4 linked regions of the Styela clava genome follow. The main gene of each other region encodes a partner of the protein of the gene in region 2 in a complex. Links are inferred from orthologs where the notes say so. Each region holds a gene or a part of one and is shown on either strand. Other genes may lie near its edges.

The links.
Region 1: uncharacterized protein LOC120333756 (region 2) and nuclear pore complex protein Nup98-Nup96-like share a complex: the UniProt entries of both Drosophila melanogaster proteins name them as parts of the nuclear pore complex. The link is inferred for Styela clava from reciprocal best matches to the Drosophila melanogaster genes Nup153 and Nup98-96.
Region 3: uncharacterized protein LOC120333756 (region 2) and nuclear pore complex protein Nup214-like share a complex: the UniProt entries of both Drosophila melanogaster proteins name them as parts of the nuclear pore complex. The link is inferred for Styela clava from reciprocal best matches to the Drosophila melanogaster genes Nup153 and Nup214.
Region 4: uncharacterized protein LOC120333756 (region 2) and nuclear pore complex protein Nup107-like share a complex: the UniProt entries of both Drosophila melanogaster proteins name them as parts of the nuclear pore complex. The link is inferred for Styela clava from reciprocal best matches to the Drosophila melanogaster genes Nup153 and Nup107.

The regions. Positions count from the first base shown.
Region 1 is NC_135250.1:14,540,220-14,548,199, forward strand, and holds the start of nuclear pore complex protein Nup98-Nup96-like, read left to right. Parts: upstream 1-4,980; 5' UTR 4,981-5,188; coding exon 5,189-5,237; intron 5,238-5,917; coding exon 5,918-6,043; intron 6,044-6,936; coding exon 6,937-7,182; intron 7,183-7,936; coding exon 7,937-7,980. UniProt on the Drosophila melanogaster protein: Part of the nuclear pore complex (NPC). Required for MAD import as part of the Nup107-160 complex and required for nuclear export of Moe probably via its association with Rae1. Plays a role in nuclear mRNA export.
Region 2 is NC_135264.1:10,611,583-10,619,242, forward strand, and holds the start of uncharacterized protein LOC120333756, read right to left. Parts: upstream 3,009-7,660; 5' UTR 2,907-3,008; coding exon 2,811-2,906; intron 2,550-2,810; coding exon 2,423-2,549; intron 2,165-2,422; coding exon 2,010-2,164; intron 1,025-2,009; coding exon 820-1,024; intron 244-819; coding exon 172-243; intron 1-171. UniProt on the Drosophila melanogaster protein: Component of the nuclear pore complex (NPC), a complex required for the trafficking across the nuclear envelope. Functions as a scaffolding element in the nuclear phase of the NPC.
Region 3 is NC_135255.1:11,062,799-11,070,500, reverse strand, and holds the start of nuclear pore complex protein Nup214-like, read right to left. Parts: upstream 3,002-7,702; 5' UTR 2,891-3,001; coding exon 2,843-2,890; intron 2,083-2,842; coding exon 1,936-2,082; intron 1,467-1,935; coding exon 1,269-1,466; intron 266-1,268; coding exon 153-265; intron 1-152. UniProt on the Drosophila melanogaster protein: Part of the nuclear pore complex. Serves as a docking site in the receptor-mediated import of substrates across the nuclear pore complex including emb, RanGAP and phosphorylated Mad. Protects mbo/Nup88 from proteasomal degradation at the nuclear pore.
Region 4 is NC_135258.1:21,257,819-21,265,832, reverse strand, and holds the start of nuclear pore complex protein Nup107-like, read left to right. Parts: upstream 1-5,006; 5' UTR 5,007-5,076; coding exon 5,077-5,114; intron 5,115-5,678; coding exon 5,679-5,782; intron 5,783-6,097; coding exon 6,098-6,190; intron 6,191-6,628; coding exon 6,629-6,705; intron 6,706-7,908; coding exon 7,909-8,014. Other genes in the region: uncharacterized protein LOC144427178, read left to right, coding at 3,983-4,732. UniProt on the Drosophila melanogaster protein: Plays a role in nuclear pore complex (NPC) assembly and maintenance. Required for nuclear import of Mad. Mediates the association between the nuclear pore complex and a subset of active chromatin regions adjacent to lamin-associated domains.

The sequences.
Region 1 (7,980 bases), on a different chromosome or scaffold from region 2:
ACTACACCTACCGTACCTTGTTTTTCCGAAAATAAGACTTTTCTCCAAGTGCAGTTTTAAGTATTCTATGGCGTCTGCAGCAGCCGCAAAACCATGGCGGTATTTCCATACCATGGCCGCTACGGCCGAACCTATGGCGACTGACTTTTTAGCTGCCACAAACCAATGTCGAGCTGCCGTTACCGCGGCAGCAAATTGAAAACCAATGGCAGGTAAAATTTTGCTGCCGTAACCGCGGCAGGTGGGTCGTAAGGACAGGGCTGTCCCTTATGGTGACAAATATTGGGTAAGTTGGAACGTTTTTCTTATGGATACAGTCTTGATGGATTTGGGGTTAGGGTTAGGGTTTAAGTAAATATAATTCCGCATGATCAATTAGAATTTGGTACATTAGTTTGTGAATATACCGTTAATACTGATTACTGAATACAGAATAGCGCTATAAAACCATGGCAAGAGCTGCCGCGGTTCGTTTGTGGCAGGAGCTGCCATGGAGTGGTAAGAACTGCGCCTCCTTTTCTCCCCGATAAATAACTCTGTGGCTTGGGGTTTTATTCAAAATAACTGCATTTAAAACGTGTTGGAGAGATTTTTGGCTATCGACAAGGTAAAAGCCCCTATTATCTGCTTATAAGTCTCCGTACCGCTAATATCTGAATATTGATTATGTGGTAGGTCAGGTATTAATATAAATTTTTGTGGAATGTTTTCACTCAAAAGTGCACCCATATCTAGAATTAGATTTATTACTGAAAATGACTTCTGTGTAGTTTGAGGTTTGGGGTCGCGACCCCTGGTTTGGGAACCCCTGGTATAGTGTATTTGTATATCATAAATAGTAGATAAATAATAATTGGAAAACTTGTTTTCACATGCTTTATCTTAGCAATCCGCTATTTCATATTTGTACATAGAAATAGAAAGTAGATATATCTGTATATTCATAAGCGAACCACTGTGCTGTTCGATTCTGTAATCCATTTGCACTGGTCTGCAAAGCCAAATCTGCTTTTTTTGGTTTTGCGAGTCAAATACGATAACCAGTACTTTTCAATAATGTATGTCTGGGGTCTCTACTTTGGAGGGCCACATTATGTCAGCGCAACTTCGCAGTGATGTAATTTTCGAGTGACGTAGTCAGTACTGCAGTTGAAGGTTGGCAATGACTAGGGCTGTCCAAAATCGAATATTTTTTTGATTCGAATCGAATATTTTTGTCGAATTGAACCGAATAATTGAATATTATTGCGCAGTCCTAAATCTGTTTCTATTATTCAATAAAAACTCCCTCTCGATATTGTGATAACTTATGTCCAGTTAAATCTAATTTACTGCTGATATTTTGCATAACTATGTTTTTAGAGTTATAAAAGGAGATCCCCTGCCTCTATAAACTGGTCCAAATAGAGGTCTCCAAAATCAGGATTTTGAAAACTGTTGAGTGTTAAGGCTGAACTCTCAATACCTTATTTACTCAATTCTAATGGATTCAGTTTTAACAGAACATGCAAATCCTGTAGATGCTATTTTAATCCTATTATCATTACTCTTATGTTTTTTTTTGTGTGTGTTATTTCCTGCAAAATGATAACAACCATTAATATAGATAATACTGTTGTTCAAGAAATTCGAAGTTGCATATAAGGAGATCACAAATTCAGAGCTAGTTTGATGACTATAACATTGTTACTGTACAACAGCCATCAAAATGCAAGAGTTCAATGTCTTGGTAAATGGATGGAAAATACATATACAAATTATAAAGTATTGCCATCATGAGAAATTACACATTCTGTTTCTAAAAGGTATTGCCATCAAAGATGGCCAATACCGAATAGTTCACTATTTCGAATACATTCGAAATTATTTTTTTCGAATATGAAATTTCGAATACTTCGAAAATAAAATCCACTAATTGAAGCTTATCTAAATGTATGTAGGAATTTCCATACAATAAGCAATGGAATAACTGCTATCAACAAGTTACAACCTAGCTATATATATTACCAGGCATTTCATATTTGCAGATTATTGCAGTATATATTTTATATATATACCATGAATCATGTTAACAGAATTAAATTAATACGACAATAGTGGTATCGATGATGGATTTGAATATTTGCGCAACACAAAATCATCCTAGTAAAACGCTCATACTTTTAAATACCAACCATTATCCAAATTATTTGCCAAAAAGCGGGATAAAGTATGAGTTATTTTTCCGACTGGTGACAATTTTTCGTGAGTACAAAAATACGAATCAAAAATTAATTATATTCAGGAACTTTACCACACATTTTAAGTTCGCAGATCACCGTTGTATGTTCGAGTAATAATACTTTTATTATTTCATAAATATGAAAATAGGAATCAAAAACTATTTATATTCGGGTAGTTTACCACACATTCTAAGTCCACAGATCGCCGTTGTATTTTGTAAATACGATAATGGGAATCAAAAATTAATATTAATCGCGAGTTTGCCACACAATTTATGTCCACAGATGGCAGAGATATTGTGCCGAATACAATTAGTTTTTGATAACGAAAAAATTGTCACAAGTCGGAAAAAGAATTTTATACTTTATCCCGCTCTTGGGAACTAATTTGGATAATGGCTGCCATTGGTTTGTATTTAAAAGGTATGCATATTTTTACCAGGATGATTTTGTGCTGCGCAAAATATTCGAATCAATGGCCGATACCACTATTCAAAATGCCTTACCGTGTTAATTTAATTCTATCATCATAACTCAAAAGTTGACAAATCGGGCAGTTTACCACACATTTTAAGGCCACAGATCGCCGTTGCATTTTACAATTATATATAATAGTTTTATTATTTTCTAAATACGAATCCGAAATTGATTATAATTGGGCAGTTTACCACGTATTTCATGTCCACAAATACCAGTGGTATTTGGTACTAATACTTTCATTATTTTATCAATATAAAAATAGAAATCAATATTTAATAATATCGGTCAGTTTACCACACATTTTATGTCCACAGATTGTCGATACAACCATGTGTTACGATAAGCAGAATTAAATTAATACGACATGACATTTTAAATGCTGGTACCAGTCATGGATTGGATTATTTTGCGCAACAAAGAATCATCCTGGTAAAAGATCGATACTTTTAACCATCGTTATCAGAATTATTTGCCAGAAATTATTTTCTAATGAATCGACTTGTTTTTCCAACTTGTCACAATTTATTGGATATCGTAACAATGACGGCTATAAATACCGTATTTCCCGGCTAAATAAGTCCACTTGGCAAATAGGACGATGTCTATTTTTAACACTCAAAAAATGGGTTTTTCCATATAGGCCTCCAATAAGACGGGTAGAAAAATTGTGTCCCTGTTGTTCAGTTGTGCTTATACGCGCTAACAATTTTATATGTTCAGAACCAGATCATGTTAGTTCGGTAGAATCATACTCACAGAATTAACTATTTTTAACAATTGAGCGGTAAATTTAAGTTGTAAAGCGTCAATCATTTTGGACAACCTATTAACCCGAAAGTTGAAATAATTTTGAAATGTGATAAGTACTACACTGTACGTCCACGGGTTATTTCACAGCTGTGTTTTCCTGTCCCTGTCGTGTTCTGCTGAATCGGCAAAACGAAAGGGTCACAAATCACTTTATCTCGGTGGCCGTGTTTCTCTTTAAAGTAACGATAACCGGTCTGCGATTAAATATCATGTAATACGGTAATTGTCAATTTTTCGAGGTAATGGAAATGAATTTGTAAATTGAAAGCCTCGTAGACGAATGTCGGCAATGTCCACCCACGCAAACGTGCAAATGTGTCGCAACACTTTGCGACGTACGGTCGCACAGAATCCAAATAATCAAAGTGAGGATTCTATTTCATCGTCATTACAATACGTGAGACAGCTTAAAAAGTCGTTTGAAGATTCCCGTGAAACGAAACACCACGTTTACGGCGAAAAGTGGCTATTATTCGGAATTATTCGAAAATGAGCTGAAAAGGTATTCGAATACTTTGATATTCGAATACATTCGAATATTCGATTCGTTTTGGACAACCCTGTTTTGCCATCATAAAGAACCCGCAATACCTGTTTCAGCTTTAAGTCACTTGTACCATGTTCCTATGATTAATAACTGGACAGCTGCAAATTGATTCTATTTATAGAACTATCTTTTTTCTATCTGATACTTATATTGCCTTTTTCACCCTATGTACTCTCTATCAAAATCGTCATGAATGATAATAACATTTAGGTTATGACCATGCTTGAAATAACTAATCACATGCCACTGGGCATTAGGAGAGACACATTTTTATCGTAATATGACATGTAAGAAATATCGGGAAACCAATTATGCCAGGGGCGAAGGTTGTCTAAGCTCGAAGCGCCGCTGCTTGAACGATGAAAAATTTTATGTACCTAATTTTTAGCGATTTGAAAATTAGCCGTAAAACGATTCGAATAATTTGCGATTCGATTTCGAATATTCGGTTCGCATGGACAGCCCCAGCAATGACATATGCAAAAAATTGATGAGCCAGGCCTACTTAGGTACTTGTGGGCATATACTTCAGGAGACTACAGGGGTGGTGACTCCACTACGACCCATGGGCCGGGGCCACGGCCCATCTAATTGAGCCACATGAGCCGTGGCCCATCAAGCTATGGGCCGCGGCCCCGTCAGGAAAAATTCAATTATCTTACCAAAATTTTCAATTTTTACAAAATTGTCAATATTCGAACCAAAAAATAAACTCCTGTAGTATGTGTACCAGGTTAGAGTTAGGGCATAATTTTGTTCAGATTTGTTACATTATAGTTCTATTATGAGTTTGGGGACTGTCTGTGTTAGCCAAGTGAATAGTTTACCTTTACACAACTTGATGGGCCGTGGCCCATAGCCTGATGGGCCGTGGCCCCGGCCCATGGGCCGAAGAGGAGTCACCACTTCCACTCTCAGGAGAACCTATTTCTGTATTAAAGTATTACTGTATTAGGTGATAACAATATCAAAATATTTTAATCAAAACTGTGAAAGAAAAAAGTTCAATAGTTTGAGATTGAAAAGTCTGGAAGTCTCTGCCCGTTCTTGTGTTTCTCCACGTTTTTTAGTGTGACAGTTCAAGTGAACAATAATTTCTTCACAAGCCATTAATCATATAAATGTAGAGATGTTTGGTCAGAAGTCAGGATTCGGATCTTCAGGTTTTGGCTCAGGAGGTAAGTTAATTATGTCACAAATCCACAGGTTTATTGATATAATTACCTGCTCGCACAATAGACTATGCTCGAAGAGCAGTGCACTGCTTGTGTAGCTACTACCCATTCCTGTATTCTATATGGCATTTCAATAACATCCTTAGATGGTATCTAATAATATAGCCATATTTAAGTACACTGATTTCAGCTCTCTAATTACAAGAATAGCCCCCATAATGAAAGACATCAAATATAGCAGTAAGTGCAATTCCTGCCTTTGCGAGACAGTTTTTGGCCTCCCTATCGGCAAAAATGCGCAAACCGGCACTGTTCTATAAACTAAAAACAAGTGCAATCGAAAAACATTATCATTAAATTCTTCAAAAAAAATTTTACAGTAGCATTAGAGAATTCTTATGCAAAAAAAACGCATTTCGTGGCAATGGCGACTATAATTAATTAAGATAATTATCAGATAAACATGGCATATCTGCCATTGTGCCAGACTCTTTGTTTTATTGAAGCAAATGTTAGGACACCTTGGAATCAGAAAACTGTGCCCTACTCTATTTATACCTCAGGATTCAAAACTCATAGTTCCTAACAGCTGATATTTGGTTATTATGCTTTCAAATTATTAAGCATGTGCATTACCATGCTGTCTTGCCCAGATTATTTATTGCAGTATATTTCGAATTTAGGGTTTGGAACCAATAATTCAGGTTTTGGAAGTACAAGCACATCTGGAGGGCTATTTGGAAATAAATCAACTACATCAGGTGGCTTGTTTGGCACAAGCACGCCAGCATTTGGGGCAAATAAAACCGGTATAAAATTTTTTACTGTATTATGATACACTTCAAAAAGTCTAATAATTTTGTTGAGCATGCTGTCTCAAACTAAGCACACTCAAGTGCTGTAATGGCAGCCATTTATTATATCTTCAATCAATGTATAAAACTATAGGACCATTTTCGATCACTTCTTTTTATAATTGCTTGAGCGCATGAATTTACCAGTATTGTTTTGATCTGTTTATATGTATCTTGATTCACTGTATCACATTGTCACCAATGCCAAATCAATGTAGTTTTCATGGTTTTTGACCCTTCTCGTCACCTTATCACATTACAAATACACACATTATCTATGTACCAGATTGAATTGGTCCTTATTAGCTTGAGTATTTTAAAATTAAACAACAGCCCGAAAGTTCATTACATTCGCGGATTTTGTGTGTTTATTTCTTGCCCAAGCCTTGTTCAACAAAGTTTGTGTTTTTTTGTAAATGCGTGTTGGTGAGCGGGCACATGATACTCATCTTATTTTAAACTTTTTTAAAGGTTTTGCTCGCTCTCCGGAATTCTTCATTTTTTATTCGTTTGTATTGTCAGATTGTGGAGTTTTCGAAATAAAACTATCTATCTGTCTTCTTTATTAGTCTATTGTATTCGACTAATGAAATTGGTAAAATGCTAATGTATCGCCTATTCCTCGAAATTCTTATTAAAGAAACTTTGTGAAGTGATAATTTGACAATAGTTAGGAGGATATCAGCTTTTTCCATAAAGTTTTTCCATAAAATATTTTTCATACTTTGGCAAAGCATTATTATGTTATACATATTAGAGAGGTGCTGGTTATTAAAGAGGGGGGAAAAGTGATCATAACACAGACACCTCAGCATTCGGGAATAATCAATCTGTTTCTATTTCACCAGGCTTCACTTTTGGAGGAGCTAGTCAGTCTTCTACAAGTAGTGGGTTGTTTGGAACTCCAACATCTAGCAAACCTGGAGGTTTGTTTGGAACACCGGCAGCTACAGGTGGAACAAGTGCATTTGGTGGTAATTCTGCTTTTGGAAGTACAAGTTCAGCTTTCGGCCAGCAAAAAACTGGAGGATTGTTTGGTAGCACAGGTGGAACATCCTCATTTGGATCCACAACTACTGGAGGGGGCCTTTTTGGTACGTTATCCATAATACTTGTAAAGTTTTATATGTAAATGATAATTTTAACACATGAATGACTGTGAGTCTGTCACCTCATCTTGTACTTGTAGATCAAATTTTAAATTTGACTTTGACTTGAAGTTCCTGTTTCATCTAGTTCAGTGGTTCCCAACCGCCGGTGCTTTTTTGCCAGTTTAAACCAGAAAACGGTCAAAAACAGTATTTCAGCAAGATATGAACTTGTTGCGACCCTGCAGGTGGTCATGTGACACGCAAAAAAAAAAGGCCACAAAGATCTTTTCCAGTATTTTAAGCCTGGTGCAAAGTTACCGACAACTTTGTCATTGTAATGTAAATTCATTTTGTTTGAGGCGTCGATCAACCGCAGAACTAGGTATTGCAGAAACTTCTTTGAGCCCAGCAGCAAAGTGCTCACTAGAGTTAATTGCGTTTGTACATGATTAAGCATGTACTTGTTCTTTTTATATGTGATGTTTTATAAGTGCCTTCCTCAGGCATAATGGATGCCCAGCACTGCATTTCATTACTCAAATATATGATTTTATTTTATGTTTCACCCATTTCAATTTTTGGGCCGCATATTATTTGATAGTTTTTCTTCGTGTGAAATGTTTTTAAGTGTGACTATTTTGTCTAGAAGCATATTGATTTTAATTTTACTGGCCCGCCAGGGTAGAACTGTTAGGAACCACTGATCTAGTTATCTTAATCTTATGTGAAACTCAAACTGTTTGTTTTTGGTTGATAGGATTTTCATCTGCTCAACAGCAAAATGGCACAGGAGCGGTTAAG
Region 2 (7,660 bases):
CGAATACAGAAGAAAATTGAGAAAAAAAAAATTTCTAGAGGCTTCAATCACCTTCTTTCTACTACTGAAAATTTAAAACAAATCGGCCCATTAGTTTTGAAAAAATAAATTTTTTTTTTGCAAAACGATCTATTATATACACTTATTTCCCGCTAATGAAACTCAATGTACCTGAAGTGTTTGTTCTTTGACTAGCTTGCATTGATGAAGAACAACCACTCGATGAGGCCACTGATGCATTGTCTGGAAAATTAAGAAAATTTGGTCAATGTGAATTCTATAATAAAATGATTTTATAAGGTTTTCGTCAACATAACATTCCATGCTACGAAGTGCAATCGTTTGTAAGTTTCAGCATTGACTATCCGTCTATCTTAGCCGAGCCTATTAAATTCTAGCAAGTTTCAAGCCTGTATACAGGCTAAATTGAATGATTGAAAATACATTGGTAAAATATTATAATAGTGACAGTTTCCATTATTCAAAATTAGTTTCCAGTAAAAACTGTTCGCTGCAGAAATGATAGAGATACTCTTGATTATATCGTTAGGATTTCAGAATTCTGTTTTGTATTACGAGCCTAAACCAAATGATACGGTTTTATAAAAAAAAATCATTCCATAAAAAAATTGACAAATCATGATATTACTGAAAATTTTGGGGAAAAAGGTTGAAAACTATTAAATTAATTCTTAAAAAAATGTCTTTTTTGGGTAATAATATCAGGCATGGAAAAAGTACAGGATTCTCCAGGCCTGATATATCTGCAATAATAATTTGAAAATTTCATAAAAAAAAAAAAAAAAAATTCATATATACCATTAGCAGAAAGATATTTCATTTCTTTTCTCAAAAAAGAAGATTCGCTTTCGATTGGAGATTCTGAATCAATTTTCACTCGTTTGCTGCTCATGGTGTTAAGATGCTTTAAAAGGTCCTCTTTTCCTGCTTTTCTACTACCGCCACTCCGCGAGAGTGAGGTAGATGCTGAGGGAGTGAGATTTTGCTGAGAAACAGGCGGCGTCTGTGAAATGAAGTGAATTAGATAATAAGAAAGCAATGGCGTATATCGCGAGTGCAGAATTCTAAAAAAAAAGAAACTAAACCGAAATTATTGCCTCAGATATTACGTTAAATAAAAAATCATTATACTCGTATTTAAAAACTAAATACGAGTATCAAACAATGTAGGCTGATCATCATAGGCAAAATTAATTTGAGCTGGGCAGCAATATCCCTATCCAAAAAGTAGGATTATACGATTTGTATCATACCAAATCATTATTTTTACACGTTCCACTCTAACAGAGTTCTGTATAAGCAGCCATTCAAAAATAAAGAACTACCAGATTAGGAAAGATCCTTGTCAGTTTCGTGTAACTCCAAATTCACTCAGATTTTTAGTAATAGACCGAGCTAGGCTAGAATAATAGATTGACCAGTTCTCAAAAAACAGATCATTGTACCAAAATGCCATACAGATAGACACAATTTAGTGTAATGACAATGATGGAAAATTTTTAATCAAAATAATAGTATCACATTCTTGTAAATATGATAAATTTAGAATTTTTTCATTTTTCCATAATATGTATAGTATTTTTAGCATTAGCATATTGGGATTATGTTCTTTATTTACGGTATTTCCTGAATATTATAAAGGAAACCATACTGAAATGATTCAGCATTAAAATGAATTATATGACCTAACCAAAATTAGAAAATCAAGCATGAAAAATACAAAGGACACACAGTATGAATCACATACATTTTATGGTACACCAATGTATAATTTGATTGGTCGAATTTTTTCAAAAAATGGATTTATATTTTGTGAGAAACTCAAAATTATCTCAAACAGCAACAGTGTGCCATAACACACAATTTGGAAACCACTGGTGTAGTAAGTAACCCATAAGACATGTGGCTACGGCTGTTTCATTTCGGCGCAGTTAATCACAAAATATATGCCTATATGCTTAGTAATTAATTAAAACTTCGGCACTTACGTCAGGTGGAGTTACAAAACACTGCACAGACGACGATGATATTTTCGAAGAGAACAAAGGTGGTCGTGGTTGTATAGGTGATCCCCGATTGGAATTGGTACAACTGTGTGTTTCCTGGTGATTAGAGGAGGTCGAAGGACGATCATCACGATCAACTGTAATATAAAAAAATGTGAGAAAAGGGCAAAATATTGAATGGTTGAAAGGAAAATTTTCAGCCAAGAATCTGAAATGAATCATAAGGCAAAAAGAGCCATCTATTATCTATCCACAATCAAATAAGGGCCATCTTCAGATAATCCATTTTTGACTAAAGTAAAATCAACCTATTTCTCGAAAATGTACATTCCATGAATAGTCAGATCACCAGAATTGGGAACGAAAATAGTCACATTAGAACGATTTTTTCATACCTTGATTTTGCCTTGTTGAAGGAGATCCTTGATCATCTGTTTCATGGTTCATTCGATTCGTGAGCCATTTTGGCGTAAAAGGATTCAAAAGATTTTTGAATGTATCCGTAACACGACTGAATAAAGTCTAGAAAGAGAGAACATGATACGATTAAGTTACTAACCTTCAAAGAATTTATTTTATATGCACCCTAGACAAAGTCGTCGCACGAACATATTATAGTATGCCATATTGAAACTCCCAGTATAAACTAGTATTTAAAATGTACAAAAATTTATTTTGAAGGAGTTTGCAATAATTGATTTTCTTATTATTATAAAGCTTTTCGCAACTCAATTAATTTTAAAGGTCTAGAATGCCTGTACAAACAAACAGGAGTTAAATAACCTTTTTCTGAGATGAAGCTCGGCTGTATGGTTTCCTGGACGAAGCTGCACGTCTTGAACGGATCTTACCACCCCCTGTGTTGGGAATATCCGCCATCGTGCAGCTAAGCTAAACAAAGTACTTAGCTACAAATCAGTTACAATGTCGATAATATTTATCGCCACAAATGCTAGGATAAACAATAATTTATAATAATATGAACCTGGAAATATATAGTAGATAATAAGATTTGAATTTGTCATAATTTATATTTTGCAAAGGGTAGTGAAACGACTCGAATCCAGTACTGCACAATTCTCCGATCCTGAGAATAGCAGACATCGATTATAACAGTGAATGCAACCCCCTCATTTACGAAATAGTTTGGGGCTCCATATCGGGACAAATCAGCACTGAGCAATAAACTAAAAAGTGCAATCTAAAATGTCACCATTGGATTCCTCGGGGAAAAATGATCATATTCTCCGAAAGAAAATACATTATTATCGAGACAAAAAGGGCATGATCTGCCGCCATGCCAGATGCCCTTCGGTCTCACTACTTACTGAATAGAGCGCAGAAGAGAGGGAAAGAGCGCGAAACAGCGCAGAAGAGATGGAAACATTTTTCTTTTGTTATTTATTAGTGTCTATGAAATTTTAAACAATTTGATGGGAAGCAGCATACAGTAGTAGGGAATGATCACGAGTATACACAGTATGTGTACCAGGTTAGGGTGCGTCATGAAGTATGTGCATCAAGATGACGCACAACCTGAACACAGTATGTGTACCAGGTTAGGGTGCGTCATGTTTGGTTATTTAAAGATGTTGAAGATTACTGATATAAACTCGTGATCATTCCCTACCACTATATAGTGTTTCCCATCAAATTGTTTAAAATTTCACGACTGTTAATAAATAATGAAAGAAAAATGTTCCCATCTCTCCTGCGCTCTTTCCCTCTCTCCTGGGCTCTTTCCCTCTCTTCTGCGCTGTTTCGCGCTCTATTCAGTAAGTAGTGAGAACCGGTGCCCTTGTTCCAGCGACAAATAGCAGAATAGAGTGCTTGTTTTACTGAGACACATCTTGGAATAGAAGACCCGTGCCTTACAGACAAACACTTGCTTTTTGAGATTTTCACTCATGTTACACCCTATTATCATTTTCTTGAAAAATGGAGCATTTGTTTTGTATATCCAAATACAGTACTGCAGTAGGGCACAATTCTCCAATTCCGAGATGTCCCGGCATTTGGTTCAATGAAACACTGTTTTTGTCTCTTAAACGAAGGCGTCGGGCACCATGCTTGTTTCGATAATAAGTATAAGTATATTTTGATTTTCCCGCAAAAAAAGCATACACAAAACATAAACAATGAACACACAGAAGATTGAGAAAATCGGGTAAACTGGCAAAACCTTTATAAAGGTTTAATACATGTAAATATACATGCGCCAGTTTACCCACATTCAACACACATACATATATTCAAAATATTAAACAGCATTGAGCGAACAAAAACAAAATTAAACAGGCAAACAAACAAAAATCGAAACCAAAAATAATATATCTAAGTTAAGTATTTTGAAACAAACAATAACTTTATATATCCTCTTCCAGACCTAATTTTTCAGAAGTTACTGCACTGCCAGACTGTGTGAATTCAGTAGGTAATCCTGTAATCAGTGACTGACTGAAGTTTTCATACAATTGAATACTGATCAGCTGGAGGAATAGGATTTTAGTGGGGATTTTTACAAGCTCTGTGGCGTCTATAATACAGGCACCGCACCTTACATCATACTACACTGTACTAGTCAGTCTATTTTTTCTTTCCAACAGTTTAAAGTAAATCCGATCCTAAATCCTTAGTAGTGAAAAATATAGTTAACTACACAAATGTTCTAATGTTACATAAGATAATAATATTCAACGTTTTTCAATCAATTCATAACTCGTTTACAACCTGTCATATTCAGTAAAGATAATAGTAAATTGAGAAAGCGTTTCGTACCACAGTACCACGAGAAGGCATCTACCACACACAGGGACGGCCCGATCTCAAGAATATGGCACAAGGTATAGCCCGCCATTTCATTGGTTAAGATTAATCACGTGATGATCCATGACCTTCTATCGTCTGACGTTTTATCGCAAAATGAAATCTTGCGATATGAAAACATATTGTTTTTGTTTTATAAAAGTAATAAAAAACTAAAAAAATTTAAGTTTCTACGTCTAAAAGAACTACTGTAGTGGACTCTTTTTATATCCAAACTGGACTGGTAGCTAGGCTGAAATTATCGGTCCGCAATTCGATTGGATTGTCTTATTGGTATTTCTCTTTTGTATACTATTAAATTTACATTATCATTTTATTTTCATTAAAAAATCTTAACGAGGTATCTAATTAAAACTAATTAAATTTGAAATAATTTCAACATCTTTTTTTTCCGGGTTTTAGTACGACTTTAAAAACAGCCACGTGACAAATAGAACGCAAAAACTCTTTTCCGTCAATCGGTCCATTCTTCGATTGATCCGCTTTTTTTTATCTAAAAATATGTCTGGTGATGCCAAAACCGCGCAGGGAGTAGTTAGATTCTTTAATGACGACAAAGGATACGGTTTTATATGTATAGATCAAGAAAATAATACGGATGTTTTCGTTCACCATAGCACAATTGATATGAAAGGCCGAAGGACGCTTATACAAGACCAGCCATGCGAAGTTGAATATTACAGCGAAGAGAGGGGGCTGAAGGCGAAGTCTGTGAGACCAGACTTGAAATGGGCATTGGAAAACAAGGACAAAGGCGACTATGGTGATGATAGACGGGGCGGTGGTGGCTACGGTGGAGGAGGTAGAAACAACGATCGTGGGTATGGAGGTGGCCGCAACGATGGATATGGTGGGGGTGATAGATATGATGGTGGTGGTGGCGGATATCGCAGTGGTTATGGAGGAGGCGGCGGTGGCGGGTATGGTGGTGGAAGAGGCGGATATGGTGGTGGAGGGGGTGGATACCACGGTGGTGGAGGTGGATATAGCCACCATTAGCTTCCAAAGCTAAGTTGTGACTTTTGATGTTTTTAGCGAGTAGGTAGGGTTCGGTTTCCACCCAACTGCCAGAAGAAAGCAGGCACCTACTACATTGATATCCTCACAATCCTCTGCTTGTGCAAACAGATTCAATACCATGATATGCCCTGCATTTTACATCAAATTTTGCGACTCAAAACAATTCAAACTTATCTCTAAATTTGTACATTTTATTATGATATTGTGTGTGTAAATTGTCCCAATGCTGCACAAAAATTCTAATACTTGGTTATGTGTTTTGATTTGGCAAATGTGAATAATATTTCAAAGACTTTCCAAGGTTTTCAGGCGTTGTAACTTGCCGAAATTAAACAGTAATAATTGTGTGTGAATCAGTATTTTTAGTGAAATTAATTTCAAACATTCATCATATGTAAGTTATCATACGGTCATGTTTTGCAATCATTCTAGTCTGCTTACCATTTTGTCTAGTATCATATTTTATTATAACTGCAGTTGAAGTAGTGCAATGCACAATTAACATCAAAGGAACGAAAACTTTCCAAATATGGTCAATCCGTATCAATATTTTTGTTGCTTCTAATATTCTTGCCAATATTAAGCATAGCAGTATCGATTTAATGATTGACTATCTTGTATTAACTACCAGTGTTAATTTACAAGTAGGATCACCTCATTTCATTTTTAAATCTGCCAATATTATATTATGTAATTTATTGCGCCTTTTGTGCAATTCTTTGCTTGCTCACACTGACAATTTTTTAATCCATGACTGAATAGCAATATTGTGTTTCATCTCCAGATATCAGAATCACCATTTTTTACAATAATTGTTTGTCTGCGTCTTTTATTCTATGGTTATATGATAATGGGTTTCAAGTGAAAGACAGTATTCTATAAAGCGGTAGGCCTATCTATATGCGTTGGAAAAATCGTTTTAAATTGGTAAATCAAGATGAGAATTAACATAGCAACTAGACATCTGTCAATTTTTTCACATAGCATTATCTTCATCCTTAATTTTGAATGTTTAAAGATGTGTTTCTGATTTTGAAATTTTGTTTATGACTCGCTGTGAAGTGAATTACTGATTTTGGCTGTCCAAAGTTCAGTTAGGTCATTGAATTCTTTGGAAGGAAATTAACATGAGATAAAATAGTTTGAGATGACCACTAAAACAATATTTTTTAAACGAGTAACAACTAGATTTGTTCGTAGTATCTGATTGTGTTAAAATTTGAGAGGGAGTGATCACTTTTTTGTGGCTTTGGGGCCAGGCCACTGAAATGGGGCCAGGCCACTGAAATGGGGCCAGGCCACGGAGAAATTGGGGCCAGGCCACGGAGAAATTTGGGCCAGGCCACAGAGAAATTGAGGCCGGGCCACGGAGAAATCGGGGCCAGGCCAGGCCATGGTGCTATGCAGTAATACGGAGCCACACTCAAATTCTGGTATGAAAAGTGGATTAGTCCTATTTTTTGTGTGTTCAACAGGTTAGTAATGATCTTGAAGGTACAGACAAACCTTATTAGTGAAAATAATACGCTTGAATCACATTTAACCGAGAATTTATTGCCTGGAAATACTGGATAGAAAATGGAGCCACAGACTTGAGCAGTGCAGTATCATGGAGCCACACTCAAATTCGTTTTGAGAAGTGGATTAGTCTTATTCCTTGTGTGTTTAACAGGTTAGTGATGATCTTGAAGGTACAGGCAAACCTAATTAGTGAAAAGAATACGCTTGAATCACATTTAACCGAGAATTTACTGCCTGGAAATACAGGATAGAAAATGGAGCCACAG
Region 3 (7,702 bases), on a different chromosome or scaffold from region 2:
ATTGTTGATTAAAAAATTATAAACAATCTAAAATTATAATTAATATGAAAGTGTGATTTAAATAACATAATAATCAAATAGACTGGTCAAAATATATGCTCAAATTATGTTTTTTAACAAAACAGAATAAATAAAAATATTACATTACTTACATAGCAAGGAGATTTGGCCAAACAGGTGAAGGATTCCATTGCATACTAACCACATATGAGTTTGGATCCTTGTTCAAATATATACTATGAAATGGAGTCTTGGTAGGTTTTGACTGTAAGAGATAGAAAATGAGAACTGTAATTCGGTGTAAGCCCAGAATATGGACAATATTAAATTTATTTACCATATATCCTCGCATATAATCAGAGTTTGAAACTCAAAAGTTGCTGAAAAAAGGGGTCGGCTTATTCTCGCATAACTCTGATCGGTGGTGCATACAAGATCAGTATGTAGTAAGAACTTCCTTTATGTAAAAAACATTATCTCATAGCTGTATTACTGATTGTATTGACCACTAAGTACTTCAAGTCTTATGTCAATCAACATTTTCTTGATCATAAGCACCACCATTATTCTATATTTTTTCAGTAGCCCTCAGCATTTCAGTTAACTTTGCTGATGTGTCTTTATTACTTCTGAGCTTTGAGTACATTTTATCATAAAAATTAAAAAAATAAGGTAAATTCTAATGAGTGAATGCCTGCTACTTTAGAAATAACAATCATAATATAAATTTATATTAAAAAGCAAAAGTATTTATATAAATTCGTTAAGAGAATATCTCTTCTGCACAAAATCTCTCCTAACACCACTTTGGTAACTAGACATTAACAAATTAGCATCTACCAGAATATGAATTTTAAAAAGACTGCTGATTCACATTTTTCCCTCTGAACAAGGTAATATACAAACGGCCACTGATATCTCACGATATGCAAGAAGTTTCATTTGGAAGGATCCGAAATGTTTTCGAGTCGGCATCGTGGGCCCTACTATATTACACTGGGGAGTGGTGGGAAGCTCAGAAATTAAACCTGATATGTGTAATCTGCGATGCCAACACAGTTGAGTCTAACGTTTCAACCACGAGGGCAATGTATTGCCATATTCCGATACGACCATCATTTTTGTATACAAATGAACATCTAAGTTTTTTCTTGATTTATGTTTTGCCTTTATAATATTCCTGATATCAAAATATAATATCATTTTGTTTTGCATTGTATATTAATGTACAACAATGCTATCAGAGTATTTTCTTTATTTCATTTTACCTTGTTGATAATATTCCTGATATCAAAAAATAATATCTGTGGTCCTTTACTAGTTTTACAGCACACAGAGAGAGTGAGATTATCAGAGTTTATTCCAATCCAGTTTGGTGGATTTCTCAGATCAATTGTCGCAACAGCTGAGTCAATTACATTCAAATTCTTCTTTCCAGCTTCAAGCAAGTCAGCAGAGGTCAGCACCTAAATAGTGAATAACATTTAGCTATTTTAGGGTTGTGAATTCAGGCGGCTTGGGATGCTTTTATTGATATTGGAGTCTGAGCTTGGGTCTAATTTTATACCTCCCTTGAGTCGGAATCTGGAGTTGAGTCGTCTCGACATATAATACAAGAAAGCTTGCATAAGCCAAATTTTTTCTCATCAAGGGGAGACAAATTTTCCTTCATATTGGAATCGAAAGCTGAAGTCCTTTTGACATCCTAATTCCTTTTTTAATGTCCAAGAGTTTGAAGTTTGGTTTAAACTTAACAGTCCAGAATATAATACAGAGGAATTTACTATGGTATTTATCCAATATTGACAGCATAAACATAGGTGCGTTACAAGCATTTAATTGAGTCCGATACAAAAGCAAACATATTCCATAGATAAATAAATTTTACTATTTCATCAATGTTTATCATTCATCACAGAAATCAACATGAGCTACCTTCAAGCCATCAGGCATTCCAATAAAGACATATCCATAGATGTTAGCAACAGCAAGAAGGCCAGTGCGTGTTGTGGCATATTCAGGTTGGCTTTCTGATACAAAAGCTTTCAAGTTTGTCAGTTCACGAAATGAAAATTCAGTTGGCTGAAATGATAATTTGTGCAATAAAAAAGTTATCTCAATTATATATTATTGAGAGAAACTATAGGCCTACCGTCATTTAATAGTTTGATATATTCAATTCAATTTTAATCGCTCTGGCATAAAAAACAAAACAATAAAACTAGGCCTACAAGAAATGGAGATACAAAGACCAGAGGTACCAAGGAGCACAGTTCTCTGATTTCAAGATGCCCCAACACTTTGGTTCAATAAAACAAACTCTCCATTTGTCGCTAAAAAGAGGGCTTTTGGCACGCCTCGGTCAAAAAATTTTTCCTTTGGTGAATCGAATCGGATTATTTTTTTCAGAGGAATCAAATGTGACGTTTTTAGATTGCGCTTCCTTTTAGTTTATTGAGCAGTTGAGTTGTGGCGATATGACTGTATGAAGGCCCAGACTGTCTCGCAATATAAAGGGTTTGCACTCACTGTTATAATTCATGTCTTTTAATGCGAGGGCTATTCTTGGAATCTGAGCCATACTGAATTGTGGCGATAAAACCAGCGACTTCAGTTTGTTTCAAAAAGCGCTATATCAGTATATTAGTGATCATTTGAGGGTCATTAAAATTGAAGTTTTCATACGATATCGCTCAGTAGACTATCACAGATCATTAAACATTTTGTATCAAGTTTTCCATGTTACAGAACAGTAATATGACATTGCAACTTATAGACTACAATTGAATATAAATCGACTTATTCAATCTATCATCTTATAAACAGTTAAGCATCTACTTACAAGTCTCTGTATTTCTGGTGGGAAATTTTCTTCTTCCTCTTCAGTCATTTTTAAAGTAAGTTAAGTTTCTGTCAAATTAAGTGCGTTTCAAAATACTGGAATATCATATGTAAGGAAATATTAACTAAGATTATAAACAAACGGTACCGGTAATAATACAACACTGAGTGCAAACTTCTAGAACTGCAGAATTGAGCATACGAGTAGCGCATTAGGAACATCGCATTACGAACAGTGAGGTTGCATTACAACAGCGCAATGGGAACACTGCGTGGCATTATCAACGGCGTGTAAATAAATAACAAGTCACGGTCGCGGCCTTTCACATATTCAGGACCAAGTTTGAGTACAAGGATTTCTGGGTCAATCCACATTCCACAACAACAAAAATCGTTATCTTGGCACTGCTTTTTTAACGTTTTAACGTACAATCCAATTCTAAGATAAGTAGAAAGACTCTCATAAAATTCGGGTTGGCGCGCACCCGCCCCGCGCTAGAGTTGTTGATGAATTCTCAAGTGAACTTTCATTTTTACGGGTTAGCGCAATATCAAATTAATATTTACAACTGACGATGTAATACAATTGCTTTTATCATTCATCAATTGCTAGACCATGTTTGATCAACCGATTGAACCGTTTTAGAAAGTCCAATCGTACAAATGTCTCGTTGTCACGACGGCCATTCGTTCGACGTTGAAAGAAAAACAAACGCCAGAAACGTCAAGTTTTCAGATCCTCACCGGTTTGCGAAATTAGATTTAACAATAGTACGTATATGAACAACAATATTGACATAACGTCATTCCACAAAATGTAAGTAATGTTTCAATCTACTAGGGTTTCAAGTTCCAATGCCACACTATTCATCGCCTTAATCAAGTAACATCAAATGAGTACTAACGTTATCACATCGTTACAATCAAATCAATAAGACGATAAGGTAATATTCTTCCATATTGACGTGGTCATATTATTCCTCAAATAAAAAAACACGCAAATCGGAAGCAATTTTGTCTTCCAGAAAGATTTCATAAAAAGTGTGATACTATCTTTCTCACTTGACAAATTCAATAACATGATAATATTGGGTTCTTCTTATCACTTTAATAGGAACATAGCGGACATTTTAGTAGGAACTAGGAACATATCGGGATCGCCATTTCAGAAGGAACAAAGCCATTTCATAGGGACATAGCGGACATAGCCATTCTAGTAAGTAAAGGGCGGAAATCGTTATTTTAGTAGTGACATAGCGCACAATGCCATTTTTGTAGGGACATGGCGGATTTTTTTTTTCGAAAAGAACATAGCCAATTTAGTAGGGACATATCGGGGTCGTGAATTTAGATTTAGAGGGAACATAGCCATTTTAGTTGTGACATAGCGTACATAGCCATTTTAGTAGGAACATATCGGAATCGCAATTTAGAAGGAACAAACGTTCATATAGAAAGAACATAGCGTACGTGCATTTTTAGTAAGGACATCCCTGTTTTAATAGAAGCAAACCGGAATTGCGGTCTAGAAAGAACAAGGCTATTTTAGTAGAGGCATACCAGTAGCGGATATAGCCATTTTAGTAGGTGCAACGCTATTTCAGTAGGAAAATGGCCATTTTAGTAGGAAGATAGCGATTTTAGAAAGGACATATCCATTTTAGTAAGGACATAGCGCGGCAGCGTGGCTCATCGTTGATTGATCGTGGTAAGGGTCGCCCGCTCTGCTACAACACACAGACAGTTTCGATTTTTTCTTGAAGAGATGGAATGTGCATACCATGATGTGCATCAGATCAACAACACTGAAGCAGTGTCAGATGGTTAAGTCTCGGTGAGGTTCTCGTGAAGTTTATCGAATGTCGAGTTGAGACAAGAGCCTTTTTGATAGGGCAAGGAAAGGCTTACCCTGAACTGGAGGACGAAAACTGGCTTGTAAAACTAATGTTTCTCGCGGATATCACCACGCATCTTAGCGAACTCAATCTTCGTCTGCCGGGTCCAGGGCAAACGGTGTTGGGTCTTTTTGAGGCATAGAAAGGATTTGTATCTAGACTGGATGTCTAAACACGGGACATCCAGAATGCAACTTTTCGATACTTCAAACACCTGAAGGCCTTTTCAATCGACCATCAAGTTGTTATTCTCCTGAATTTATTGTTTAGTTCTGGCCTATAAAATTAAACAATTTATGCTGTAGGTTGAAGGCGTGCGTTCATTGTTGATATGAATTGCTGCATTCATTTTCTATGTTAAACCAAACTTGCATTTATATTATTAATCCAATCTAAAGGATTTATATCCCATATCATAACTATTGTATATGTTGATATGAATTGCTGCATCCAATTTTCTGCGTTTAAACTTGCATCTATACGTCCCAAATCATTATTATTGTATATACTGATGAAAAATGCTACATTCTCTTCCTACGTTGAGTCCATACGAATCTGGGACATCTGCCTCTATATGTGGGCAATATGGATTATAAAAATTGATAAGGGACTGACCAATAATGAAAAAGCTCGACTCAATGTTTAAAAATTTATTTACAACATTTGGCTCTGGAAATTGAGAATTGCCAGTTCCTTTCGATTCAGTCTGACGAGACAACTGACATCATGTGCGTTTCCCAACTGGCTGTGATTTTTCGGTTTGCGAAAGATGGTAAACCTACCGAGAGATTTCACAGCTTTGTACCAATCGTTGATGGCACGGCTTGCGAGATATCGGCTGTACTGAAAGAAGTGTTACAGCCTTACAACGCGAAGTCAAAATTGATAGCTCAAACTTATGACGGCGCGGCAGTCATGAGTGGGTCGAAACATGGTGTTCAAGTTTATATAAAAGAAGATTTTCCTCATGCGCATTTTTTACATTGTTATGCACACCAATTTAACCTCGTTATTAAAAATATGTGTCTTGATACCCCTCTCGTCCGTATATTTTTTGCAAATGTTTCGGGGTTTTCTTCATTTTTTTTCCGTTTCGCCGAAGCGCTCTGACCTCCTTCGCCAGATATGTAGCCGCCGTCTCCCAGCTTGTGCACCAACACGTTGGAACTTCCAATCACGCGTGGTGCAGGGCGTGTCCGAAATTAGGTCTGAGCTCATTGAGTGTTTCAATGGCATTCAGAGCTCTCCGGTTTGGGACGAACGCTCTGTGAGGGAGGCGGCAGGTCTAAAGCGTCTGCTAGAAGATGGTGAGTTTTCATTTTTTCTCGCTTTTTTCTCCACAATATTCTATCACGTGGATGTATTATACGGCGCATTGCAGTCAAGGCTAATGGATGGAGCGTCTGTGCAGTCGTGTATTTCAAACTTCTGCGATGCTGTATCTCGTATCCGGGATACAATAAAATACGACGACACATGGAGTGCTTCTTTACGCCGCGGGCAAACAACGCAGCGTTTGATTTTGTCTGCAAAGGAATGCTGTGACATTCTGGTGAATCAAATAGGCGATCGTCTGCGCACTGAACACCTTGCCGCGTTCTCTTTGATGAACCCCAAAAATTTTTCAAAATTTGCACGTCAATTTCCCATCCATTTGTTGGCTACTGTCTCCAAATTTTACCCCATGATAAACGTGGGTAAATTGGTAAATGAATTGCGATGTATATACACCAATCAAACTTTTTTGAACATCACATCAACTTGCGCGCTTTATGGGTTCCTCATAGATAACACTCTAGTAACTACCTTTGCGGCGTCTGCAAAATTTCTGGACATCATTTTGACGACGCCTATTTCTTCCGCCGACGCAGAGCGAACATTCAGCACGTTGAAGCGTATTAAAACGTATCTCAGAAACACAATGAAGCAAGATAGATTAAATTCCTTGGCTGTTTATCCATTCACAGAGACGTTATTTCTGAGATGCATGACTTTAATCAACGCGTTATTGAGCATTTTGCTTCCAAGAAATCGCGGCGTGTTGCATATATGTTCAAGCAGTAGAAGTCTAGCAGCATATATATCTATGAGTGAGCGACGCATGTCCTTATCTTTGCATTAACTTTCCTTTCTCCATAGTAACGTTTTAAACCTTATTTTAGGTTTTGTCTGCTTTCCCGAAGTTTCTGTTAATATGTCATTGTATTTATCTGGGTAAATATTGCCTTTCCTTTTGAAATAGGTTTCAAAATAAACTATGTCTATATTTATTAATCCCTTGACTTGGACCGGTTTTAAAGACACTTTCTTATCGTTAAAAATTGTCGCTTTTGCCGATTGGTTGTTACCGATGGAATGGTTTTTATACTCATAAAATGATGAGAGAACTTACAGCGCTCATCCTGTCCCCGTAGATGGGGGTGACTTGGTCCCGCAGTAGCTTGCCCCGGTTGTCAAAATGACCACGCGCCGCCACTGCTATTATAAATATTTACTTTTTTATTTATCATTCACTTGTCTTCTTATATATTACTGTGACATCCCTCTGGAAGCAAAAAATATTATACATAATATAAAATAGTGAATATGGGGGGAGCTGACTCTGATGACCGTATGGTCTTATCGCTCCTCCCGGTCTATACCGAACATCTTTATTATTGTATATTTTTATTACTGTTGCAATACTTGTTTTTCTGGTTGACAAATAATAAATCTCTCTCTCTCTGATATAATTGAAATTGATATACAATTGAGGTACATGGGGGCTCTAACGTTTCAGTTTTCCAATAGATTTCGAGATTTTAAGCAATTTGATTCATTGTTTTCTTTTCTCATCAAGCCCGAGTGCACCGAAGACTTAAACTTATTTGTATTTGAATGGATGGACATCGAAGACTTCCAAGTGCAGCTGATCGATTTTAAAGCATCTTTATCTTACCACCAAAATGCTTTGAAAAACGTTTGTC
Region 4 (8,014 bases), on a different chromosome or scaffold from region 2:
ACTGATCTATTCTAGACAATTCAAGCATTGCTTTGGGAAATAATATCACTTCAATTAAATTTGCCGTATTAAATACGAAATCGTTGCTATCATAAAGGTAAACCAATTCAGCCACTGGGAATATATTGGCCTTCACAAAGCAATGGGGGCAAAATTGAGAGTTCATGGGCTATGAACTTTTGTTCTTTTCTTTGTCTTGAATTTTTTATACTCCACAGCCCCTATTAATTTTTTTTTAAATTTCAATTACCATGTGATGGTCATACATATCTTTAACTTGTATTTTCTGTAATGATGTATTATCTCAATGTGTCAAACTCTTAATTAGTCTGCATATTTTGCTTCCAGATGACATAAATGTATTGTCTTGTTCATTACCTCAGCTTGGAGTATTGACAAGAAAAAGGTGCCAGTAAATTCTTTGTTATAATCAGAATTCACAATTAATAGGAATTATAAACAGCCACCAATCAATGAGAATTACATGCGAAATTCCTCACAATAAATTTGTCTAATAATGTCTAATAAATTCACCTACTAAAGCAAGTTCGATAGGTGCAAACTTTGTGTTATGGAATTGTATCACAGCATCGTTAAGAGAAGTAAAAACAGTTTTGCTGTTTTGTATGACACCCTCTTTAAATGAAATTTCAATGTTTAAGCGCAAACTTTAAAATTACTAACTTTGAACTTTGTCATTATCTGCAAAATGTCCCACACAAATCTTTACTCTATCGCGTTTGTAATCTTCTCTGATAAAAAAAAGTCTATGATGTCCAGAATTACTCTTTACAGCTTGTATGTCATTCCAGCTTTCCAAGTGAGCAAAACTTCTTAGATATAGAGATTATTTTCTTTCGTTACAGGCGCAAAAAGGCAGGTACTAAACGTAAAGAGGACGCCGGTTAGCAAAAGCAAGCGGAAAACGGTCGCGAAAGGCGACGAGAAATATGTGCATTGGAGCGTATCATGAAATACAATCTTTCGCATGTAGTCTTATGGAGTGACGTCAGAGTTGCCTATCATGTTGTTTAATGTCATTGCTCAGACAGATTTTCAAGCGTGGTCGTAAACATTACCTCGTTTTTGAACTCTCATCGTTGGTTTTCAGTTTTGTTTCGGAAACTTAAATATAAATCAGATAATTCAATGATCACTCTGTCTTCCTAGGAGTTTTAATTTAATTGCAGTATGGAAAAATTAGTGTAGAAATAGCTGTGAAAGACTAGGCTAAATTTCTTCACCGGTACTTTTAAAAAACGGATTGTTGTATGCGATGAATCGTAATGATGGGTTGAAAAACACACCCCATTTTACAGGCGTCAACTCGCAGAAGCACTCTTAAAATAGCCCCGAAAATTTTGCAATGGTAAAGTACAGGAAGAATTTTTCGGTGATCAAAGGTCGGGGGAAGGTCCATATCTTGAGCGCGACAAATTGACCGTTAGGTGAAGCCAAGGGTGAAGCTATGATAAAACAAGGGAAATCCCCACTGTTTTCGCGCGCGTGTGGGTCACTGGAATGGACGTGGCATCTGGTTACCGTTTCCCTAGAAAACTTTCCCTCATTCAGGTTTTACAGTTGTCCCTTTCGAGCTGAAGTAATGATACTGGACATGTATTGAGGTAGTGACTGAGTCAACACGATATTAATGATTCAAAACTTCATGCTGCTTTTCAAACATGTAGCCTATTTATTTATCTGTCTTGCACATTTGATAGTTTTTTGGTGATTTTTTGCATTTCTGACAGCAAGCGATACCGGTATCTCCCATAAATTTTGACTTGTATATTTCTATGCTATATAGGAATCTCAGACTCAAAATTTACAGAATTCGAGAGAGATCAGCTTTATTTATATATATTTACTGCAAGGCTAATCCCAGAATCCTGGCGATTTCTCAGCTACCATAATCGTATAAGAACATTTGAAACATTTATCAGAAACGGAGGAGGTGGTTGGGATTCTATTACATTTAGTTTTATCTACTTGAATCTTGCTGTCTTATTTCAAGCGCAACTCTTATTTTACTCCATGTAAATTATTCACTGATTCAAACAATTATTTGGCTTTTATCATTTTAAATTGAGTTATAAGCACTGCCCGATTTTGAATCGTGTCCATATTTTTTGTATACTCGTATTATTCCTATTTTATTTTTTGGTGGGTGGGCTCGTACTTGTACGTTTTTTAACTTTATTTTAAGTTATGCTCGCCTTCCAGGTATCTCTGTATTTGTTGTCTGTTTACTTTTTTGTATTGTCCCGTTTTAGTCAGAGAGCCGAAATAAAATGATTGATTGATTGATTCTAGTGATAAACTCTCACTTCATCTTCATAATCATTTTTTTTTTTTTTGCAATTATTTTATTGTTATGCTGATTATGGAGTTGAAATGAAGGGTCTAGTATAGTTTAATACCACAAATACTTCCGGTGGACGTATTATAACGAATTTTGCATATGTTATTCCTAACCCCCACCTGACTATGCCATCCAAAAATTACGTCACTATCACGCCATAGGGCCTGACAAAGTAAAATTCCCATCGCCCGAAATGGCATCAGCGCCAACTCGCCAACGCTGACAATCTCTCTCCTATCGTGATCGTTGTGACGAGAAACGAGAGAAATGGTTGCTCGATTTTGGATGATTGTCTGCGCGCTTTGGACAACCATCCGCATACTTTGGTGGGCCTTATTACAGCACTGTGACGTCGGAATGACGTATTTTTTCAATGGCGTAGTCAGGTGGGGGTTAGGATTGACATATGCAAAAATTGTTGAGCCAGGCCAAGTAGAAGTACATGTGGTACTGAACTATACCAGACCCGAAATACCTATACTTATCTGATTGCTTTTAGTTTAATGCACTACTGACCACTGTTCATAGTTTTCATTAATTTCCGGATATTGATTTAGACTACTTTTCAACTTAATTCATAGTTAGCTAAGCTTTACTCGCCAAACTCACCCAAGTAGGCCTATTTGTTTGTAGATTTTGTATTTCTGTTCTGAATATTCTAATATTGCAGTAGTCATTGATTGATTTATTCTGATCCAGTCCGGATTTTATGGCGTTTTCCATGAGAAATACAGAAATTGGGCATGCAATCAGTGACTAGTTTCAGAGTTTAAGAACCACACCACTCTCCGACTTTCAGTACCCATCGTCTGTAATATACACTGCTGACAAATTCGAATAGGTCCTATTATAAACTGCCTAATTATTGATAACACGTATCTTTCATCATCTTCCCACAAGCTCACCAAAACCCATGTCAATTAACAACTATACGAGTCTATCCTCCAAACACAAGTTTTTTTGTAACCTGTATCTCGATACTCACAATTGTACATTAACACAGAACTTTCTGATGAACTTGGTCGCTGATTAATTGATCTTTGACCTTTGCGAATGCAATGTCGCAGCCGGTTTTCGAAGCTTGAACCTCTGTCGGCCAAAGCAGTAGTCCAGTCCTTTTTACAAATAAGCCTACTCTTTCAGTCTCAGATGTTCAGCGTGTGTGGTCTCTGATTGTAAATGTTAAACTATTTTTTTATATCCAACATCTGAACATAGGCTATGCAAAAAGCTGTAATGAACATTGAAAGTAGGTAAATTCAAACATGTTTACTTGACTAAACCCAAATTCTAGTTTTTTATTACAGATGCACTAATAAAAACTATTTCTGCATCATGCTTCAGATAAAATACTTCCAAACCAGCATATTTTAATTTTGTAAATAGCTGAAAATGAATAAAAAACATGAAAAGTTTCTCTTGATATAGTTCTATCATTTTTTGTTTGATTATTAGACTCATGGTTTTTGATTCTCACTATTTGAATATTCATGATCTTGGTATGGTGGTAATTTTTAAAACAATTTCGCTTTGATCATCCTGATCTTCTTTCGTTTCATATGCTCAGTTATAGTGTCTATAAATTTGTACTTCATAACCATAAACCAATCATAATAAATCATGTCTGATGTACAAAGCGAAAATGTAACTGCCACCATTGCTCCTGAGAAGAAAGTGGATGAACATGTTGAAGAAAAAGTTGAGAAGACGGAGGAACTGACTGCAGATTCTCAAAGTGATGGGGAAGAAGAGGAATTTGCAGAAACTAACTTTGAAGCAGACGATAATTCTGAAGATTTTATTCCTAATGAAGAAGTTGACGAAAATGAGGAAGAAGATTCTTGCTCAAGTGGAGAAGAAGAAGTTGGGGTCGATGTAAAATTAATTGAACTCGGAGGTCAGAAGTTCCTCCAACTAAAATATGAGAATGATGAACAGCGGCGAAAGGAATTACAAGCTAAAATGAAAGCAGAAGATAGTGAAAATGAAGAAGAAGAAGAAGTCAGTAATGAAAAGCAGGAGGACAAAGATTCTGATAAAAAAGAAGGTAAAGATTCTTTCAAATACTACAGAACAGCTACAATATTAGATGAAGATATGGATAAGGAATATAAATCTGACGAAGATGAATATTTCGACCCCATGGAAGGGGGTACCCTCACTGATATTGAGTATTCCAGTGGAGATGAGAGAGACACTGAAAGTGAACCGGAAACTGAAACATTAGAAGGAAAACACAAGAAAACTGGTGAAGCATTGACGTGTATTAAAATGATTGAACAACTTCAAATTCCACCTCGTGACCAGACCTGTTTACCAACAGAATTTGCTAGTGCTCAAGTTTCTGATCAGCCAATGGAATGCTCATAAGTTGTATGTGTACTGAGAATCAAAAAAATTATTAGAACTTAAAAGGTGTTACCCCTGACTCTTGGACAACATTGGACACAACTGATTATTTCATATCATTTTGTTGCTAAGGTCAATTCTATATGTTTTGTACTTGAATATTTGGCCACTTTCTTTCTGGTATTTTGATATGCCCAGTTGTTGTTCCATCACTGCTTTATTTCTCTCACTGCCGATTTTCATTCTAAGACTGTGCCTTTTTCACTATCGTAAGTTTTTCATTATTTTCGGTTATTTCAGAACATAGATTTAAATATTAATTGTTATTGGGACACTTCAAAATTCTTCAAACATTTTTTCAAAACATGGATGAAAGGAATGGATCATATATTGGTAGTCGTAGGTAAGCGAATAAATTGTTGCCAATGTTTTTTTCACACCTATATTATTTTTATTACTTCAATAATAAAATTTACTTCAATGTTGGTGATTGTTCAGTTTTTACTTATCGATCTTAAGATCGTTAAGTATGTTGATAGGTATTTGTCTGTCCGTATGTTTGTTTGTCTGTTAGATGAACGCGATATCTCACGAAGGCGAGGTTGAATCTGCTCCAAATTGCATGTGCATTCATCATACCTCGGACCAGAAGCCTATTGATTTTGGATGAATTATGTCCTATAATTAGCGAGTTATTAATTAATTAGTGATGGGACACGCTGTGTCACTATAGAGTCGTGAATCGAAACCGCATTTTCGATTGATAAGTCTTCGGTCTCCGACCGATATTCTCGTTTGTGCATTAAGTGCTCTGTTGGACAGACATGCCAGCAAGATATAATAGCCCTTTTTTGATACGTCTTCCAAGTAATTTCCTAAAATTGAAAATAAGTTTCTTCCTAAGGTGTTCAATATTCTGTGATAGTCTCGGTATCCTAAATGCATATGCTTATCTCTTATGTTTCAGAACTCGAGGTTTGAACGCAAGTGGATTGATTAATTCACCATCAACAATGAGAGACGCAAGAAGTATGCAAAGAAGATCAAGGATGACACCACAACAATATCAAAGTATTTTCAGAATATAATTTTTTAAAACTTGATTATGAGGTATTCCTCTTCACTCCCCTCTATATCAGATTTTTTGTCATCCTTTGGTAAAAAATTAAGCAGCACTAGGTGTATTACTGAACCAAAGTAATAAATGCAAATCAGATATAACAAGTATCTTCAGATATACAGTCAACATTAGTTTCTTTCATGATTTGTTGTGGACTGGGTGGCTATCCCATTTTTGGTGGATAAAAGAGGAAAACTTTGGAGTGTGCTTACTTGGCATATAAATGCTTGCTTAATTATAAACTTAATACAAGTTTTAACTTTCAGGTCTTCAACAACTGGATGAGAGTATAGTTCAAGAGAATCCTGCGTTTCTTGAAGCAATTACTCCAATTTCTGGACCTAGCTCAAATAGCCGAGGTATTTCTATGAGATGAATTGAATTGAATAATATTAAATTATTCTTCAGGTCGCTACTTCTATATTGGCATTTTATAATTTGCTAGACTTTGTTATTAAGTTTTGGAAACCATACACATTGTAACTAGCCACAAAATTATGCCAAATTATAATCTCTAATCTACTTGTTTCTAAGGGTATAATCATGATAAGGGTTGTGTGCACATTTACATAGAATTATCTTAAAAAAATTTGTTTATCATCTATCATCAATTTGCAAGCTATTCTATGTGATTCAAGAACATGTTGCACATTAGCACTCTTACATTATGGAGATACTAATCTATTAGCTCAATAAAAGTAGGATAAGTAAGTAATCAGTTTCACAGAAACCCGAAGAATAGAACTTTTGTTGTCTTGAATCTAGTTCACTTAAAAATAAAGTTTGAATGCTTGCAGGAATGACAAATTATGATTTTACCAGTCAGCAATTTCCTAGAACAATGATGGCCAGACAAGAAGCAGAATATTCCATGGTGAGATTATGTGTATGTGACTTTCTAAAGCATATCGACGCATGAAATCCAAATTGGGCTAAGTCCATTTTTCTAGTTTTGAGAAAAACGTTTTTTTTTTTGTTTCATTTTTTTATTTCTCTAATACCTTACATTGAGGATGTCTAGTTTTTATGGTCCACCAAAGTTACAATGAAGGCCATATTTAGATGGTATAAAAAAATTTGTGCTCCGCCCCAATTTTTTTTGGGGTTTTTTTTTGGACTTAACCCTTTTTGGCTCTCAATTTTCTGGACCAAAAACAATTTTATTGGACTTAGGGCCCCTTTATTATGTTATTATAGAGGCTGGTATGGACTTAGCGCTTTGTATTATATTTTTTGAGAGGAGCTATGTCCAAAAAACGGACTTAGCGCTTTGTATTATATTTTTTGAGAGGAGCTATGTCCAAAAAACGGACTTAGCCCCAACTTACAATGCAGTTATCCAGAGCTAAGTCCACTATAGTAGACACAGGTCTGTTTAGTTCTCAAATGCCCTAAAAAAAGCAGGGTTATGTCCATAGCTGTCTTGAGATCTAGAGCACCTAGAGATAAGGCAAATAGACCAAAATGTAGAGCTAAGTCCAGGAAAATCAGCAATTGAAAAATGTCATTTTTTGGAAAAGTGGACTTAGCACTGTTTGGTTTTGAGGTGTCGATATTTTTGCGTATCTGTTTGTAAATTATACCAAACTTTTCCAACTCATTTTCTTCTAATATTTATTGATTAAACCAAATCCCATCTTGGCTGAGAAGTGCAAACTGAGTGAAATATATATTTTTTTCAATTGCTGTAGTATATCATACTAATTTGTCTAAAGTAAATTCGGCATTTTACAGTTCACAAATTGTGAGTAGTTTGGTCTTCAAAATTTACCAGTAAATATTTTTGTTATGTTGACATATGTATATGCAAGAACCTAATTAACCCAATCGTGTAATTTGGTACTATCATTAATAATAATATTTGTTGTTATGCTTCTTTCAATTGAAAACTAATATAAATCAGTTAATTTGAAATGTTCCCCTTTGGAATAAATTCTTTCTTTTGTTATTTGGTTAAATTTATAGCATTTTGACACATGGCTAATAGTCTTGTACAAGATTTCTGTTATATTTCATCATCTGTAGTTTCTGTACAGAAAAATTCTGAAGAATATTAATATTCAAGAGTTATTTTTAGCTTGACATTTCTGATGAAAATTTCGAACTTGATGCAACGAGAAATCTTCTTGAACCTAAAACTCCATCTGGCTTCACTCAACATATGACAACATTACAGTGTATTC